Linked DNA regions of Rhinolophus ferrumequinum. The protein of the gene in region 2 interacts with the protein of the main gene of each other region in a pairwise test. Links are inferred from orthologs where the notes say so. Each region holds a gene or a part of one and is shown on either strand. Other genes may lie near its edges.

Region 1 (7,842 bases), on a different chromosome or scaffold from region 2:
GGACCCAAAGAATTGAACAAATGATATACTAGCAGGTAAAAAAAAAAATGCAGATATATACTTCAGGAAAATGTTTACATGAAAAATTCAAATGGTAGGATGAAGTTGGGTCAGCTTTCTAAAATCAACAAATAACGAGTGCTTCCTCTGTACAAGTCATTGTGCTAAATGCTGTGTGTGTGTGTGTGTGTGTGTGCACGCGTGCAAGTGTGCATGTGCATGGTTATATAAGTGAAAAAGAGAGACAGGCGTGCATGCGTGCGCACGCACGCGCGCGCGCACACACACACAAGGAAGGATAAGACAGAAGCCAGGTCTTCAAGGCTTGCAATGTAGTTGCTGATGTAAGACTATAAACATCAAAGAAATGACTAATAATATGGAGTAGATAATTGTTAAGTGGCATAACGTGTCTGCAGGAGTTCTCAGAAGAAGCAATCAGATCTACAGGGGAGGGGGTGGCACTGTCAGGCAAGGTGCTTCTAGAAAGATATGAGATTTGAGATGGACCTTGAAGGCTAGAAAGGGTCTTGATAAACGGGGAAATGGCACGAGCAAACACTGGCGGCCTTTATTGTCAGGTAAGAGAAAGAAATCATGCCTTAAAAATAAGGACTGGACCAGATTTGAACGACCTTGAAAGTTAAAGTTTTTGTATAAGTGAGGAGGTACAAAATTTTTTTCTGAACATAGAACGATAGGGCTTGAAGCAGGTTAATTTAACAAACAAAACGTCTTCTGGGGGGACCATGGTGTGCAGGCACTGGATGAATGACTGAAGATGATTTTGCCTTTGATGGGGAACTAACTTCAACCTGGGAGATGAGTTGGACTTGAGGTGACAAGCGTGTGAAGTAGAATGTGAAGGGGCAGGTTTGTACCACCTGCTGAAGGAAACACCAGCAGGTCCCAATGACTAACCGGCTGGGAGGCAGAGCACAGGAGGCAGAGAAAGTCAGCAGAGAGAGGTCTTCAAAGTCCAAAGTTAGGCAGCTGCAAGGATGGAAGAGCATAGGGAAGCTGCCTGAGGGGGGAGAGATGCAGAGCTTGGTTTTTAGAAGTGCTGAATCTGAGGATAACTATATCGCAATGTCCAGTGTGCATTCAACGACACGAGTCTGGAGTCTGAGAAGGAATAGTTGAAGATACAGCTTAAGTGTCTCCCCAATGGACAAAGAGTTGTGGGACTGATTAAAATTTCTCTGGAAGGAAGTGTAATGAGAGAAAAAAAAGGAATGTCAAATTGAACCACTGGTGTGCTCACACCTAGGAGGTGATGGCGGATAGGAGTGAGCTGAGAAAAAAAACCAAGATAGTCTAATAAACACCACGAAGGGAAGGGGGTAGAGTTTCAAGGAGGAGAGGGCTGACAGTGAAAAATGCGACAAAATCAATCATGTGGACTGAGCACATAAATAATAAATATTTGTTGAATAAATGAATGAAATAAGGAAGAAAGGCTTTGGGTTTGAGAATCAACTTTCCTCAGTCAGAATGGCCAGGGTTGCCAAGAGGATTTCAATGTTAAATTTTACCCTGTTCTACAAAAACACATATCTTCTTCCACAAGTCATCCTGTCCACAACACAGACATCCTTCCCTGCTTCACCCATGTTTCCCCTCATCCTCTTTCCCAGTTTCCGCAAATCAACCAACACACCTTCGGTGTCCAAGGAGACAGGAAACTCCAACTAGAGTTTCCACTTCATTAACAACTCTGCCTGTGGCTCCTCTTACATAAAGGGATATGTGGCAATTGAGTGGAAGAGGAGACTATGTTCTAGCCCCAACTGTACTACTAACTAGCTGTAAGAGTTTGGGCAAGTTGCTCAACCTCTCTGGATGTGGGCATTTTCACAGATAGGAGGAGGTAGGTCTATTTGGACTCCAGACAAGTTTAGAAGGTGCCTTTCAACTCTAAAGATCACGATTTTAAAAATTCTCAGAAGGTCCCTGCAACAACCTCAGAGAAGGAAGTGAGCACAAGACCCAGGGAACCGACCGTCAGACCTCTTCCCGGGGCGAAGAGCCAGGATAGGAGTGTACCAAGAAAGTGAGAAGGCGCTGCCTGGCCCTCGCGGATGACCAGTTGAAATCCCATTCCCGTGGCTGGAAAGGACCCCAAGGATCCCAACAAACCCGAGGGCTATTCCCACCCCGCACCCCACCTTGTCTAGACTCCCAGACGGACGCGAGGCTCTAAAAAGCCCTGCGGGAAAAATAAAGATTTCTTTCCCAGAGTCCTGCGGTGCTTTTGCAAGTCGGATTCCGGCAGACACGATCTGCAGCCCGATAATGACACAGACAGTCTTGGGAAAGAGCGACTGTTCTCGCCTCGCTCGCTCCGAGTTCTGGGGACGCCTGGCCGCCAGAGCCATGCCCCGACGGGCCGGCGTCGGACCCCGGCCCGGTTGCCCGGCCAGTGGGGCCCCTGGCCCGGGCCCTCCTTCCCTCCGCCGGCCCCGCTGCGGTTTGCAAACATTTCCTGCCCCCGCCCCCACCCCCACCCCCACCCGGAGCTTCCCAGTTGGAGAGAGTTGGGCTCAAAGCCGGGTCAGCGCTCGCTGTTGCCCCAACTAGACTCCCCTGGCGACAGGGCTGGGGAAGGGGACCCCAGTCTGGCTCGGGGGAAGCCATCGGGGAAACCCGGCGCCAGGAGCCATGGGAAGTCGCCTGGGAAGCCCAAGGCTCGGGCAAGGAGGGGACAACTGGCGGGGCGCCCGTGGCCCTGTACCCTTCCCCGTCGTTACCTGCTCGCTTGCGGGGGTGTCCTGGGGCGGCCGGCCTCTCCCGGCGCTGTCTCCCCACGCAGTTGCCCATGCTGGCTCCTCAGCCGGGCCCCATGCACCGGAGGCGGCGGGCTGGTCCGCTGCTCAGCGCTCCGGCCCCGGACGGCGGCGTCCCTGGTCAACGGCTCTTGCCGCCAGCCATCGGGCGCTGCTGGATCTGCCCCCGGGGGCGCGCTGTGCCCCAAAGCCGGCTTCGCCACAAACTTTGCGGCGAGGGGAGAGAGGGAGGTGGCCGACTCCCTAGTACAGTCCCAGGTGGCCGGGCCAGGGGGGCCCGCGACGGTGCCCGGCCCAAGACCAGCTCCGCTGGAGGGGCGGAGAGAGGGGGCGGTCACCGCCGCGGCTACACCCGGCTAGCTCGCGGCTCCGGGCTGGGGCCGGCCCCCCGGAGTCTGTCACTCACCTGCCTAACCCCGCCCCAGCCCGGCCCAGCTCCTTGCCGTGGGCTCGCAGTGCCCCAGCCGCCGCCGCCGCCGCCACCGCCCGCCCCAGGTGCGCATGTGACCGACGGCACCGCCCCCTCGGGCCGGGTCTGATTTTCTCATTGGCTTCCCCCAGGGTGCGTACCGCCCCTCGACCCCACCCAACTAGGGGCCCGCCCCGCCGCCCGTCTCCCGGGTAGCAGGGCCGGGAATTATTCTCCTTCAATGGCCCCCGGCTGCGTGCCCAGCAGCCACCTCCCCTCCCCGCGCCGCCATGGCCACTCCAGGCCCCGCCCCTTGGGGGAGGACCCATCCCACTTCTCCCTAGAACCGCCTGCCTTGGAGCCGGCAGGCACGTGATCCAGGGAGCGCCCCGCCTTCTGCTTCCGCCAGGCGATTGGCTCAGGAGGCGCATGCGCTGAGAGTTCCGTCCCGTACCACCGCCCACTTCCCCTCCCACGGTCTCTAGTTCGCGTCATGGCCGCCGCCGCCACTCTGGAGGCGGTGGCTCCCACAGGCGCCCTGCGGGGCCTCGTGCACGACTTCGTCATGGGTCAGCAGGAGGGCCCCGCTGACCGAGTGGCTGCAGGTACGGCAGACGGCGCTGCGGGGCTTCCGCATGGGGGCCAACGGGAGGGAGCGGCCTCAGAATAGACGTGGGGCGGGAAGGGAGTGAGGGACAGCGGTGACTTGAGAGATTGGTCTCGGGCAGATTGTGAGTACCGCGTGCATAAGAGGCGTAACAGTTACTTGCATCTTCTTTAATACGCCTTTACGCCCCTCGTCTTGGTTTATAGCCACCCTGTGCGCCGGCACGGGTTAGGAGAGTGATTACCATTTCACAGGTGGGAATCCGGCCTAGCGAGGGCAAGAGGCTCGCAGATCAGGCAGGTGGGGGAGCTGGGACGCGGCCCCAGGTCCTCCAGTTCAGAATCTGGTGATCACGTCGCGAAAGCACTTGATCCTGGGAGGTCAACGGGACAAGAAGCATCTTCAGAGGCATCGGCTCCAGTCGCGTGGCATGTTGGGAGGGGCAGGGCGGCCTGATCTTTGACGGGCTGTAATTGGAGAGAGGAGAGAGGCCAGCCTGAGGGGAGTTTGAGATGTTCTACGTATCCTTAAGACTTTCCCTCCGTTTCTTAATAGTAAAGTTCTTGATTAATTTGCTTCATGACTTATGTGGTGTTTGTTTTTATATTTTCCCCAGATCTCCAGTTTCCTGCATTTGACAGGTTCAGGGATCTCTTAGTTCTGACAGCTTATATAAGATTTGAATGAAACAAATTCCAGGTTTCATTGGAATTCTCTTTTAGAAAAAAAATTAGAAGTTATTGAATAATTAGGAGGCCTTCAGACCTCGTGTTACGTAAGAGAATACAAAATCTCATGAATACAGAAGAGTTTTGCCTATTTTTGAAAATTTTGCGGTCTTGAGAAAAAGTAAAGGACGCATTTCTCTTGAAAATTTAACATATTAATTTTTATTTAGAATATGTGAAATGAATAAAGTAAATCTGCAGGAAGTACAATACTTTGCTCCTTAGCAATTACACTTTTATCCAATTATTTATTCAATAATTCCACCATTATTGAATATATATTATTCTTTAAACAGATGCAAAGCAATAGGAACATAAATACAAATTAGACTAGATATGTATCTGCCACTGTAGTGGGGTGGGAGAGAAAACCATGCAAACAGATAGTACACTACACCATGAATAGGGCTATAAAAGGTATGTGCAAGGTGGCATGAAGCATCAAGGAGCAAATGCCTGATGCTGCCATTCCACTAAGTTTAACTGCTTACAGCTTTATGAAGCTTAGTGTGTTATTAGTGCTTACAATTATAATGAACAAGTACAGTGTGTTTTCAATGGCATTTTTCCTGGTGTTTTATATGAACATTTTAAAACACAGCAAAGTCTAAAGAATTTCATAAGAAACATACATACGAGTACTCCACCACCTAGATTTTGCCATTAACAATTTAATGTAACTTGCTTTATCACATATCTATCCATACGTTTAATTTGCAGATGTCAGTACACTTCCCCCTAAATACTTTGGTAGGTATATTTGTTTACAATTTAGTTTGGTGTAAAATTCATATCCAATGAATTGTACAAATCCTGTGTATAGTCACTGATTTTGAAAAATGTATACACCTACCTCCTACCAAGATAAAGAACATGGCTATATCAGTGTTATTAGTAACTATTCTTTCACATTTATATATCATGAACACAATAATTGCATTTGAAAAATGCAGAACACACTTAAGAAGACGACGTGAATAAGGATGGCCAAGTTCTTATAAATGTCCTTGTAAAATTTGTTTTTATACCTGAAAAAAATGGCCTAAACTGTTGTCTAATTTAAATTTAACTCAGCTAAGACTGTAACACCAGCCCTGTTGTAATTTAACCCTTCAGACTAAGAAAGGAGGTTGGTAGTAACAGATAAGTAACAGGGGTAGCAACATAAGGTTGAAAAGGTTTGGGGGGGGGGTTGCATTATGCATAGCCGTGGATTCCAGGCAAAGGCACTTGAATGATCTATTATAGTTAATAGGAGTCATTGTAGATCCTTGAGCAAAGGAGTCGCATAATGAAAGCAAATTTGAGAAGAATTAAATTGGTATTCCCAATCTTAGATTACAGCCCTAGTTAGGGTTGTTGAAGGCTGACCAGGTTTTGAAGCATTCCTAGAATAAGATGGGATCCTCCATCCTAAGTCAAGCTTTGTTAGTGCTGAAAGGACCACTGTCTATTAAGCCACTACAGTGGTAGCCTCTCCTACAAATTGTAAATGCAGAAGGAACACCCTGTTATCACAGAGGCAGCTACCACCAACTTTGTTTTGTACCTGGGTTCCTGATGAAAGTATCAGATATAAAGGTTCAAATGATGGAAGAGAAATGACCTGGCAGTCAAAAGCTGCCACTACCTAGCTCCAGCCTTTACTCTCATTATTCCCCTCCTGGACCTTTAGTTCCAGGCAGCCACCTTGATTTGCTATTCCCCGAATGGTTTCCTTCCCTAGCTCTGTCTAATCAAAGGTAGATGTAGGATTCAAGACCCAGTTTGAGGGCTCGCTGCCTGCCCTCCAAGTGTTTTTTGATTACTTCAATCAGACATCATCTCACACTTCAGAATCTGTGTGGTATTTATTTCTCAACCACTCATAAACTTATTAGCAGACTTGTTTAGTAGCTATTTCTGTACGTATCTCCACATCCTACTCTGCTATTCCTACCAACAGAGTCTCCTAGAGACTAGCATAAGTAGATGTGCAGTAAAAAACTGAATAAGTGAATGGAAATGAGAAAAGGAAGAATCTGGAATTTGAGGCTTAACTAGTTATAGGGCTTGAAGGAAAGGGAGAACTCTAGGATGACTCCAAGTTTTTGAGCCTGATGGTAAGCAAAAGAGAAGTACTTTGTCCAAAAATGGAGGTTGGGAAAGGAACTAATTTTGAAGTGATTTTTGGACATGTTGAAATTACAGGTGATGGATATAAATTTTCATCTTCTTAGTTATTTGTATTTTCTTTTTTTCAGCCTTTATTATATTGTCCCACATTTGTGATTCCCTGAGGAGACCACTGTTCCTGAATCCAAAAGATTGCTAAAGGACAGTAAAATATAGTTCTGAGAAATGTGTGTAGCACCCTCAGCAGAAAGGACATTTGGAGAGCTTAATTGGAACTGAGTCCTGATTGGGATTTTTCTTCTTCCTGCATCCTCATATCCTCCCCCTTCCCCTTTTGGCTGCTGCTCCAGATTCTCAAGAGGCTGCAACTCCATCAGACAGAGGTCTGATTGTACATTCTATGTCAGGCTCATGTAAATACATCTTTGATGACTCCTCAGTGCCCCACACGAACTGGTGCCCTGCTGTGGAAGTTGTGTGTAGTTAGGAGGTGCTAGTAGGTCCATTTTTAGAGAGCAAATCTTGGACAGCTTGCAAAAGCTTAGGCCTACCTATATAATGAAAGGAACTTTCGTTTATTTTTTCCTTCATGCCAGTGATACTCCCCTTAGGAAAATTAAGTTTTTATTAGCTCTTTCATCCCAGGAGTCCAAGTACGCAATTAACAGTACCTCCAGATATTCAGGTATTTTTCATTTGGGAGTATTTATAGTATTAAGAGAATGACGCACTTAAAGTTGGTGAGAGATGGTCCATAAACCCAGGAATTTTACTCCTTTCTTATGTTAACCCAGTCTGTTTATATCACTATGGTAACACTGAACTTCTTACACTGATTGTGTTAGATGTCTTTCTGCCCCAATAGACTGTGGGCTCCTTAAAAACTTCCTGTCTATATTTCTATCTCCAGCCTCTAACACAGTACCTGATTTATATTAGGTGTTCAGTAAATGTCAAATGAAAACAAATGCGCATGACAATTTTTTAAAAGAATTATGGAGGAAACACAGAAGAGATTAATTCTGTTTTGGGAATCAAGTAAGGTTTCCCAAGAGTTGACATTTGAGCTGAGTCTTGAAGCGTTGAAGTTCCTCAGATTGAGAAGGGCAGAAAAGAGGCATTCCAAACCAAGGGAATGTTTACAAGATTCAGGATATGGACTGAACATGTTGCAATTTCATGTGACTGAATGATAGG
Region 2 (7,721 bases):
TTGGAAAGCAGGTTCTTTTATGTCATTGCCTCTGGACGAGGCCACACTGGTGGTGGGAGAATCCCAGACAAACACACCCTGATAGCAGTTTGAGAAAGGGAAGTATAAACGATAACTAAATATTAGAAAGGATCTTATAAAAAAACACTTCACTATTAGCTTTTCAGATCTTTAAGAACAGGACAACACACACCCCTCTTTAAATAAAAAGGGCAAACTGGATGACATATAGAGGGCCTTGACATCCCACCATAGCATGAAAGACAATAAATATTAGTATATTTTTCTTCACAGTGACCCCCAGCGTAGCAGAATTTTGACTTGCACGATCTACACTCTGGGCCTGGATGGTCACAGTGTGCTAGCTTTCACGCATCCTGACAGATAGAGAAGTTGATCCTATCTATACGATATAGTGGGGCAAACTGAGGAAGCTGTGTGGTCCAGAGATCACCTTCTGGGGGATACCGCCAGCCCAAGCAGAGTCTGATGGCCCAGATGCCAAGAGGACTCAACCTCTGGGTATGTCTGTAACCCACTCATCATCGACCAGTGCTCTGTGGCCCACCCATTGGGAGGCTTTGTCTTCAAGAATTTTCCTCAGGATGACTGGCTGTCAGGTGAGTTTGCAGCAAACCATTCTTCACATGCTACACTTTGGTGGGGAATCACAACACATATTAGCAGATGAACATATTAAGGCTCCGAGAAGACTGGTGTTTCTTTGTTGTTCTCCCCTTCTCCCCCGCCCTCCCCCCCTACTTTCCAATCTCCTTTAACCAGGACACTCTTTCACCATCTCACAGGTCTAAGCAGCTGCGGAATGGTTAACCCTCCACCGGAGCACACAGCACCAGTGACTCAAAAGGCTTAATGCAACACCACCATGTCCTAAGTATCTTTCATTGCAGATTAGCTCGGACCCTGAAATAACTTTAATCATCAAGAAGAAATCCTCCTGGAATGCTATGAACGCCAAAGTGTTAAATACAATAATCACCATTATTGCCCCCAAATGAGCCGATGAGGAACCGAGGATAAGTGGATTCTGGAGCTGGGACTCCCAGTCATGTACAATAATTCATATGCCCCTGGCAAGGAGAACTCTAAACATGAGATTCAAAAACCCTATGCTTAGCCTCGGCCTTCCCCACCCCAGGAGACTTATCTATCTTTCTGGTTATATAGTCCCTTGGCTGTTGATGTAATTAGTATATAATAACTGTGTACATATCAACTCACAGGAAAAACGGCGGACGTGCTGGTTGATTTGGCTTGAGGCCATCTCATCGGCAGGGTGAGACAACCCGGTAGAAACATCTGTTATTAACCGTATATTTTAAAATAGTGTTTTGTGTCTCCTGGGTTACTGATTCCCACTGAAAGCAACACAATATCAAGACTCCTGTTTTTCTGAGCAGCACCTAGGAGCTAACAAGCTTTAAAACATTTGCAATAGTCTCTGCAGTTCTGCTGCTTGTGCTATGAAGAATTTTATTTCCTAAAACGTCTACTGTATCACACACACTGCTTTTCTAGGTTTCAATCTCATAGAGGTGAGCAGGTTTCATTTAAACTGTGTCACTATGAAGAGTTAAGGTTTTTCAAGTCAAGGGCCCCGAATAAAACTGGCCGTAGCTTTTGTTTTTATGAAGAAGCACTTGCCGTTCCCTCTATTCAATCAGTAGCCTCACTAGGGATTGGACTATGACTTGCAATTTTTTTTTAAAAAAGGGGCCATTCTCTCAAATCTGCTTGTTTGCGCTGAGTACTTTTCTTGAAATTAACTTAAGAAATTAATTTCTTAATAGGAGAAATTCAAAATCGGGTGCTCGTGCCACTGGCTGCAGTCAGTAGCACAATGCTGCTTCCTAAACTTCTAGGACGAAGTCCCTGTGTTGGGCAGAAAATGACAATCTTTCTTTGACACATGAGCAGTCAAATTTTCAAAACATTTATCCAAGCTAACTCAATGAAGAAACCACTTTGGCATGAAAAAATAAAAATGAAAAAAAAATAAAAATGTACCTGATTCCAAATCACTTTTGACAGCTCTGCTATATATATAGAAAGAAATCGACTTTCTTCAAAAGTTTTACCTGTGCCCCAAAACTCAGTTGGGATAGTTTTGCCTTCTTTCTCAATTGTCCCAACTAGAACGAAAATGCCCCTGCAGGTCTGTGAAACCCTTGCACATGTCCATGTTTAATTACATTCAGATTGAGATCTTTGTATACATATAGGATATAGCCAAACTTTAACTCAATCGACCGCAGCGCCTTTGACATACAGCCTTTATTCATCGTTCTCGCCTTATGTATAAATAGACATGCGCGACTTGTCAAAATGCAAGCCCGAGCGTCTTTACATTGTCTAGAACAAAGAGCCCAGCTTGGCTTCTTTCTTTCCTCAGTGTCTCAGAAGTTGTCCTTTATTCCATGTGCAGGATGCAAAGATTTTGCTGCTGCATGAATGAAAAATGATACCTTCAGACTGCCTTTTTCGTGACAAATTGCACTTCTGCAGAATATCACACTGCCTGTGGTTGTAAGAACCCCACTTAGATTTACTATTACTTCCTCGGGGACTCAGCCTTCTCGCAAAGCACCCCAAGGCTCATTTCCAGGGTTTTAGAGTGCAACAAACATGAGAAAGTTTGCTCATCGTGATGGTCTAGAAACTCTTCGCTAGTAAAAACAGCCTCTGGAATGTGTAAAGTGCTAAAATCCTTGCCTCTGTGGACTTTGGGTGTACAAAACAGGCAGGAAAGTTGTCTGGAAGTATCTGCGAAGCATTGTGTTTGCTCAGGAAGGAGCTGTGGGGTGAGAGGCTGAGCTAAGCCTCTCCCTCTGCCTCCTGGGTGTGAGCAGTGAGGCTGCCACTTAGCAGAAGCAAGCAGAAAGAGATCGGTAAGACTCACCGGCTTCCCCATTTTTCCCAGGACGGGGTTTTGTTCCTCAGCTGTGATCTGGATCTGGAAGAGGCAAACCTGTAGGTCCTCCAAGCAGGCTGCCTGGGATCAGCTGGATGGCTGGAGCGTTCAGGAAGCTTGCTCTGTCCAGCTCCGAATCACTCCCCCTCTCAGGCTGTGTGCTTACACGCCTCCCAGTCAGCGCAAAAATCCGCCAAACTCAGGTCAGCCGAACAGGTTTCCTTATATAGGTAAACATGAATTGCATTCCTGGTGAAAGAACTTAACTAGGAATCCTGTAACCTGGTTAACTCTACACAAGCCAGACTGGCTCAGAGTCAGTCAGCCAGTGTAGGGTTTGGTTGCAGTACAAAGGGATTTGTGCGATTTAATTAAAATCATCTTTATCCTGGCAGTCTGTAAAATTGGCCCTTCTAGTGTAACTGTGAGTCAACAGCTAGTATTTTATATCATGAGCTGTGACCAACCTTACATTATCTGGAGGCATTGTAGGGAGAAAAACCAAAGTATAGGATATTATCATTTGTCTTTTATGTTTTTAAAACCAGGGTAACTTATCTTGAAATTATTTTCAAAGAAGTGAATAGAACATGTGACAGGAAGAGAATGTGAACAAACCTCTATCAATAAGGCTCAAATGCTTTATTTGAGCATAGTAAGTAATAGTTATTCAACTTTCCCAGGCCTTTAGTAGATAATGCAATGTGATCATTTTGAGTCTACTCCCTTTATAATGTAGTAATTGCTACTGCATTCTTTGATGGGCAAAATGACACATAATGGCATCTATTTATTCCCTGTAATAACCCTCCTGAGCCCATATAGTGAAGTGTTATTTGATGGTTTCAGGAAAGAAATCTAAGACTGCTGAATTTGCATAATTATATGTAAAAATTTTAAAACAACTTCCTGGACTTACGAAGATAAGAAAACACATTTTAAAAAGAATTCTGGGGAAGGCCTAACTCTAGGTTCAAAACACAGCTTTTAAATGTAAGTATGTAACTTAAATCAATTGTCCAGTAATTGGCTCTTTTCCCTACATTTATCTACCGCTGAGTAAAGTAATAGTTCTTTTTAATTCTAACCAATTCCACGAAAGTCTTACTATAAAGTAGAGACTCAAGACTTTCTAATACCTGAGCGGTGGGGGTGAAGACTGCCTGCTGAACAAAACCCGTCTTAAAGTGAATCCTTTGTCCCCATTTCATCCACTGGTCGACTGCTCCTTGAGTAGTGACAATCTTAGTAAAAATAGCTCAGTGCCATGGTTTAGGTCTCTGCTCGGGAAAGGAGAGACAATGAATGTTTACATACTGCCTAAGCCAGCACGGATACAAACAAATCATAGAGAGTTTCTGTTAAGAGCAGTAAAGTGCACAAATCACACTGTCAGGAAGGGTAATTAATCTTTGAATAGCACTTTACAAATGGGCAAGGATTTTCGCATACAATTTCTCTTTATATCGCCACAGGAGCACGATGCAGTGTGTGTTATTGTTTCCTTTCCATGATAACAAAATTGACTTGCAGAGATAAAGTGATTGGTCCAAAGTCTCATGATCAATTTGTAGAAAAGCCAAGATTAGCAGATCTTCTAGAATTTAACTGCAGTGGAATTTCCAAAACTAGAGTCACCCTGACGAGGCAGCAGTCCATTAACATGGCAGTTTTCCATGTTCAAATATAATTTTTAATAATCATGTATCCAGAGAGTTTAAATGCAATATACAAACTGATTAAAACACTCTTTATAAAGTCATAATTTACTGCTAAAATGACTGCCTTTAAGTAACTCCAGAAAGGTCATAAAATGAGATAGGAAGTATATTTTTATTGAATATGAATTTGGGTTATAAAATATTATGAAAATATAACTTTGCAAATATTGCACACATCTTTCTGTTCACAGTACACACATTTCTATTGTATCAAGTTAAGACTCATCTTGACTCCCCCACTGGAAGGAATATCAGTGTTTTCTACTTATTGGGTTTTCATTAATCTTAAATAAAACTGTGTGCCATGCCAGGTAAATGGCTTTCACTAATATAGTCTATTTATGATCCTGCACCCTTTATGTTCTCATAATTCCCACTGAAGCAAGTTCTGTTTATGCAGGAACTTTAGACTTTATTAACATGTTGATGCAAGACGAAGAATGCATTTTTTTTCCAAGGCAGGCTAAACCTTTAAGTGCCTTAAGCTGGCCTTCAAATTTTTTCTTACAATTTTAAGCAAACAATCATTTAGGTTTTAAACACAAAATATCTTGGGCAATAATTATTGAATTGAAAGGTCAAAATGAAAATTGGATCTCAAAGTAGCATATTTCAAAGAGGGACTACAACCCTCTGCTAAATCCATTTTGGATGCCTCAAGAAATGGTTTGGGAAAGGCTGGGTCACTGAAGCAGTATGAATTCAAACTAACCATAGAGAACCCCAATGAGAGAGTACTTACAGCTGAATAATTACACTATGCCAAAAAATAGGACTTATGGGAAACTAAATAAAATACAAGACCTATTTGAAGGGGAGAAAAATCTCATTGTGGTTTAAAGAAAACATCAGAGGGCAGATTTTAGAAATTCCCAATGACATATAACTAATGAGTAGTTGAGCTATAATTCAAATCTCGGTCCACCAGACTCCAGAATCCTTGCTATTTCTACTGCATCCTGGGTATACTACACTATCCAAGAAAGAGAAAATGCCTTAGGGTCAGAATGTGCTTCCATTTTGGTTCCATCTCATGGTTACGTGACCTTGGGTAAGTTACTTAACATTTCTGAGCCTCACCCCCAAGGTGAAAATCAAATGGCTATACATCTCACAGATTACTGAAAGATTCTGAGATTTTAAAAAAATATCATTCTGTGTATACTTATTGATGCTTTTAATGATGCAGGCACACAACCAGGAGCAAGTTATGCATGTCCTTCCCCCACCCCATAAAGCTAACGACCTTACAGGAAAGACTGTGCACATATTTATGATGGAATGTGAAAATGTAATGTTTCCCCAAATTTCTCACAACACAAGAATGTTTAATTGAAGTTCCACATCAATGTAGAAATATTAATTGACAGATTTCCAAGCTGATACTCTCACTGTAGTTAGCACAGGTTACTCTACTGGCCAGAGGCCGGCTTACCATCATTAGACTTGGTGGACCTGGGCTGAGCCAGATAAATACCAGGAAATGGTAAACAGCGATACATCTGTCATATCATGACAATATCCTTTTATCGAACAATTGAGGAGGACCAGCATGTTCAATGGAAGAGCATCCTGAAGATACTCAGGAAGGTGGATGTTCATGGAGTTATTTTTATTATTAATTCTTTATATGCAAAAGTGATGAAAAACATAAGAATCCTTAAATATTGTAGTCAGTTATCTATCTACTAATCTATTACCAATTCACTTCTATGCAATAAACATTTAATTGGTGGCTATTATGGATAAAGGTCTATGAAGGATACATACAGAAAAAGATACACAGAAAAGAATGGTCCCTAGCTTGAAAAGAGCTTTCTAGAAAAATGTTATGGTGCTCAATAGCTGTATCAGACAGGATGGGTGAAGTAATGCTCTGGTAACAAGCAACCCCCAGATCTCAGTAGCTTATAACAACAAAGGTGTGTTTCTCACTCATGCTACATGTTTACAGAGATCAACGGGGAGGAGTCTCCTATTCATAGCCGCTCAGGAACCCAGGCTGATGAAGGTTCCTTTCGGCGCATACTTCCACCGTCGTCGCTGAGACAGGAAACAGGGACTTGGTGAATCATTACTGCCTTTCAAAACTTCACTCCATAAGAGACACTTAAACTTCCGCTCACCTTTCATTGGCCATAGTGTTCTCTGGCCCCAGCTTAACTTCAAAGAAAGAGAGACTACTAGAATACATGACAAATGAAGACATGACAGATATGGCAAACCATTTGGCAGATTCAGTACCACTTCTGGCATAAGGACTGGCAGTTTAAGTTTGAAAATTACTGACTAGATGCAATTTCTATAAGAGTGGGAGCTTAAAGGTGGACTGAAACATTATTAGTGGTTCCGGCTGAACCTTGAGGGAAACAGTGACATTTTAGAAGGATGTCCTGAGGCAGGCTCTTCATAATATTTCCATCAGTTACTTGAGTGATGATATAAAAGACAAGTTGATTTAATTTGCAGATGGTGCCAAATTGGATAGCTAACACCACAGAGGATTGTATTATAATTCAAAATGACCTTGAAAAGTAGGGGAAAAAATGACGTTAAGAAGGAAGCTTGTGTTCAATAGTGATAAATAGAGAATTGGAATGAAAGGGCTACAAAATACGCTATAGAAAAACTATATTGAGCTAATATTAGTCTGTAAGTTAAATAAATACTGGCAGTTTAGCACTTTTACTTGTAAAGCCTTTGGTATGGTGGTATTAACCATGTAAGCCCTGGAAAATAGACATTCTTAGGGTACTGCTTCATTGGGGATCCACATTAAAAGAAATAAGATATCAGAGCAAATTCAGAAACAAAAGCAGACATTTCCAAAGGACTAAGTACCCTAGGTCAGAAGTCAGCAAACTTTTTCTGCAAAGGGTCAGTAGTAAATATTTTTGACTTTGCCAGCCATAAGCCTCTTCGTTGCAACTACTCTACTCTGCCTGCCGGGGTGATCTAAAACAGTCACAGATAATATGTAAATGAATGGGCATTCATTTACAAAACCAGGAAGCCAACCTTGGGCTATACTTTGCAGACCCCTGTTCTCTACATTATGTGTCCCAGAA

The links. The genes of interacting proteins can lie anywhere in the genome.
Region 1: the proteins of MID1 (region 2) and UBTD1 interact in binary tests that used the Homo sapiens proteins (3 or more experiments, as listed by UniProt). The two-hybrid records come from large-scale screens. The link is inferred for Rhinolophus ferrumequinum from reciprocal best matches to the Homo sapiens genes MID1 and UBTD1.

Annotation. Positions count from the first base shown.
Region 1 is NC_046299.1:26,307,537-26,315,378, forward strand, and holds the start of UBTD1 (ubiquitin domain-containing protein 1), read right to left. Parts: upstream 3,164-7,842; 5' UTR 2,821-3,163; coding exon 2,751-2,820; intron 1-2,750. UniProt on the Homo sapiens protein: May be involved in the regulation of cellular senescence through a positive feedback loop with TP53. Is a TP53 downstream target gene that increases the stability of TP53 protein by promoting the ubiquitination and degradation of MDM2.
Region 2 is NC_046284.1:118,835,013-118,842,733, reverse strand, and holds the start of MID1 (E3 ubiquitin-protein ligase Midline-1), read right to left. Parts: upstream 3,024-7,721; 5' UTR 2,921-3,023; intron 1-2,920. UniProt on the Homo sapiens protein: Has E3 ubiquitin ligase activity towards IGBP1, promoting its monoubiquitination, which results in deprotection of the catalytic subunit of protein phosphatase PP2A, and its subsequent degradation by polyubiquitination.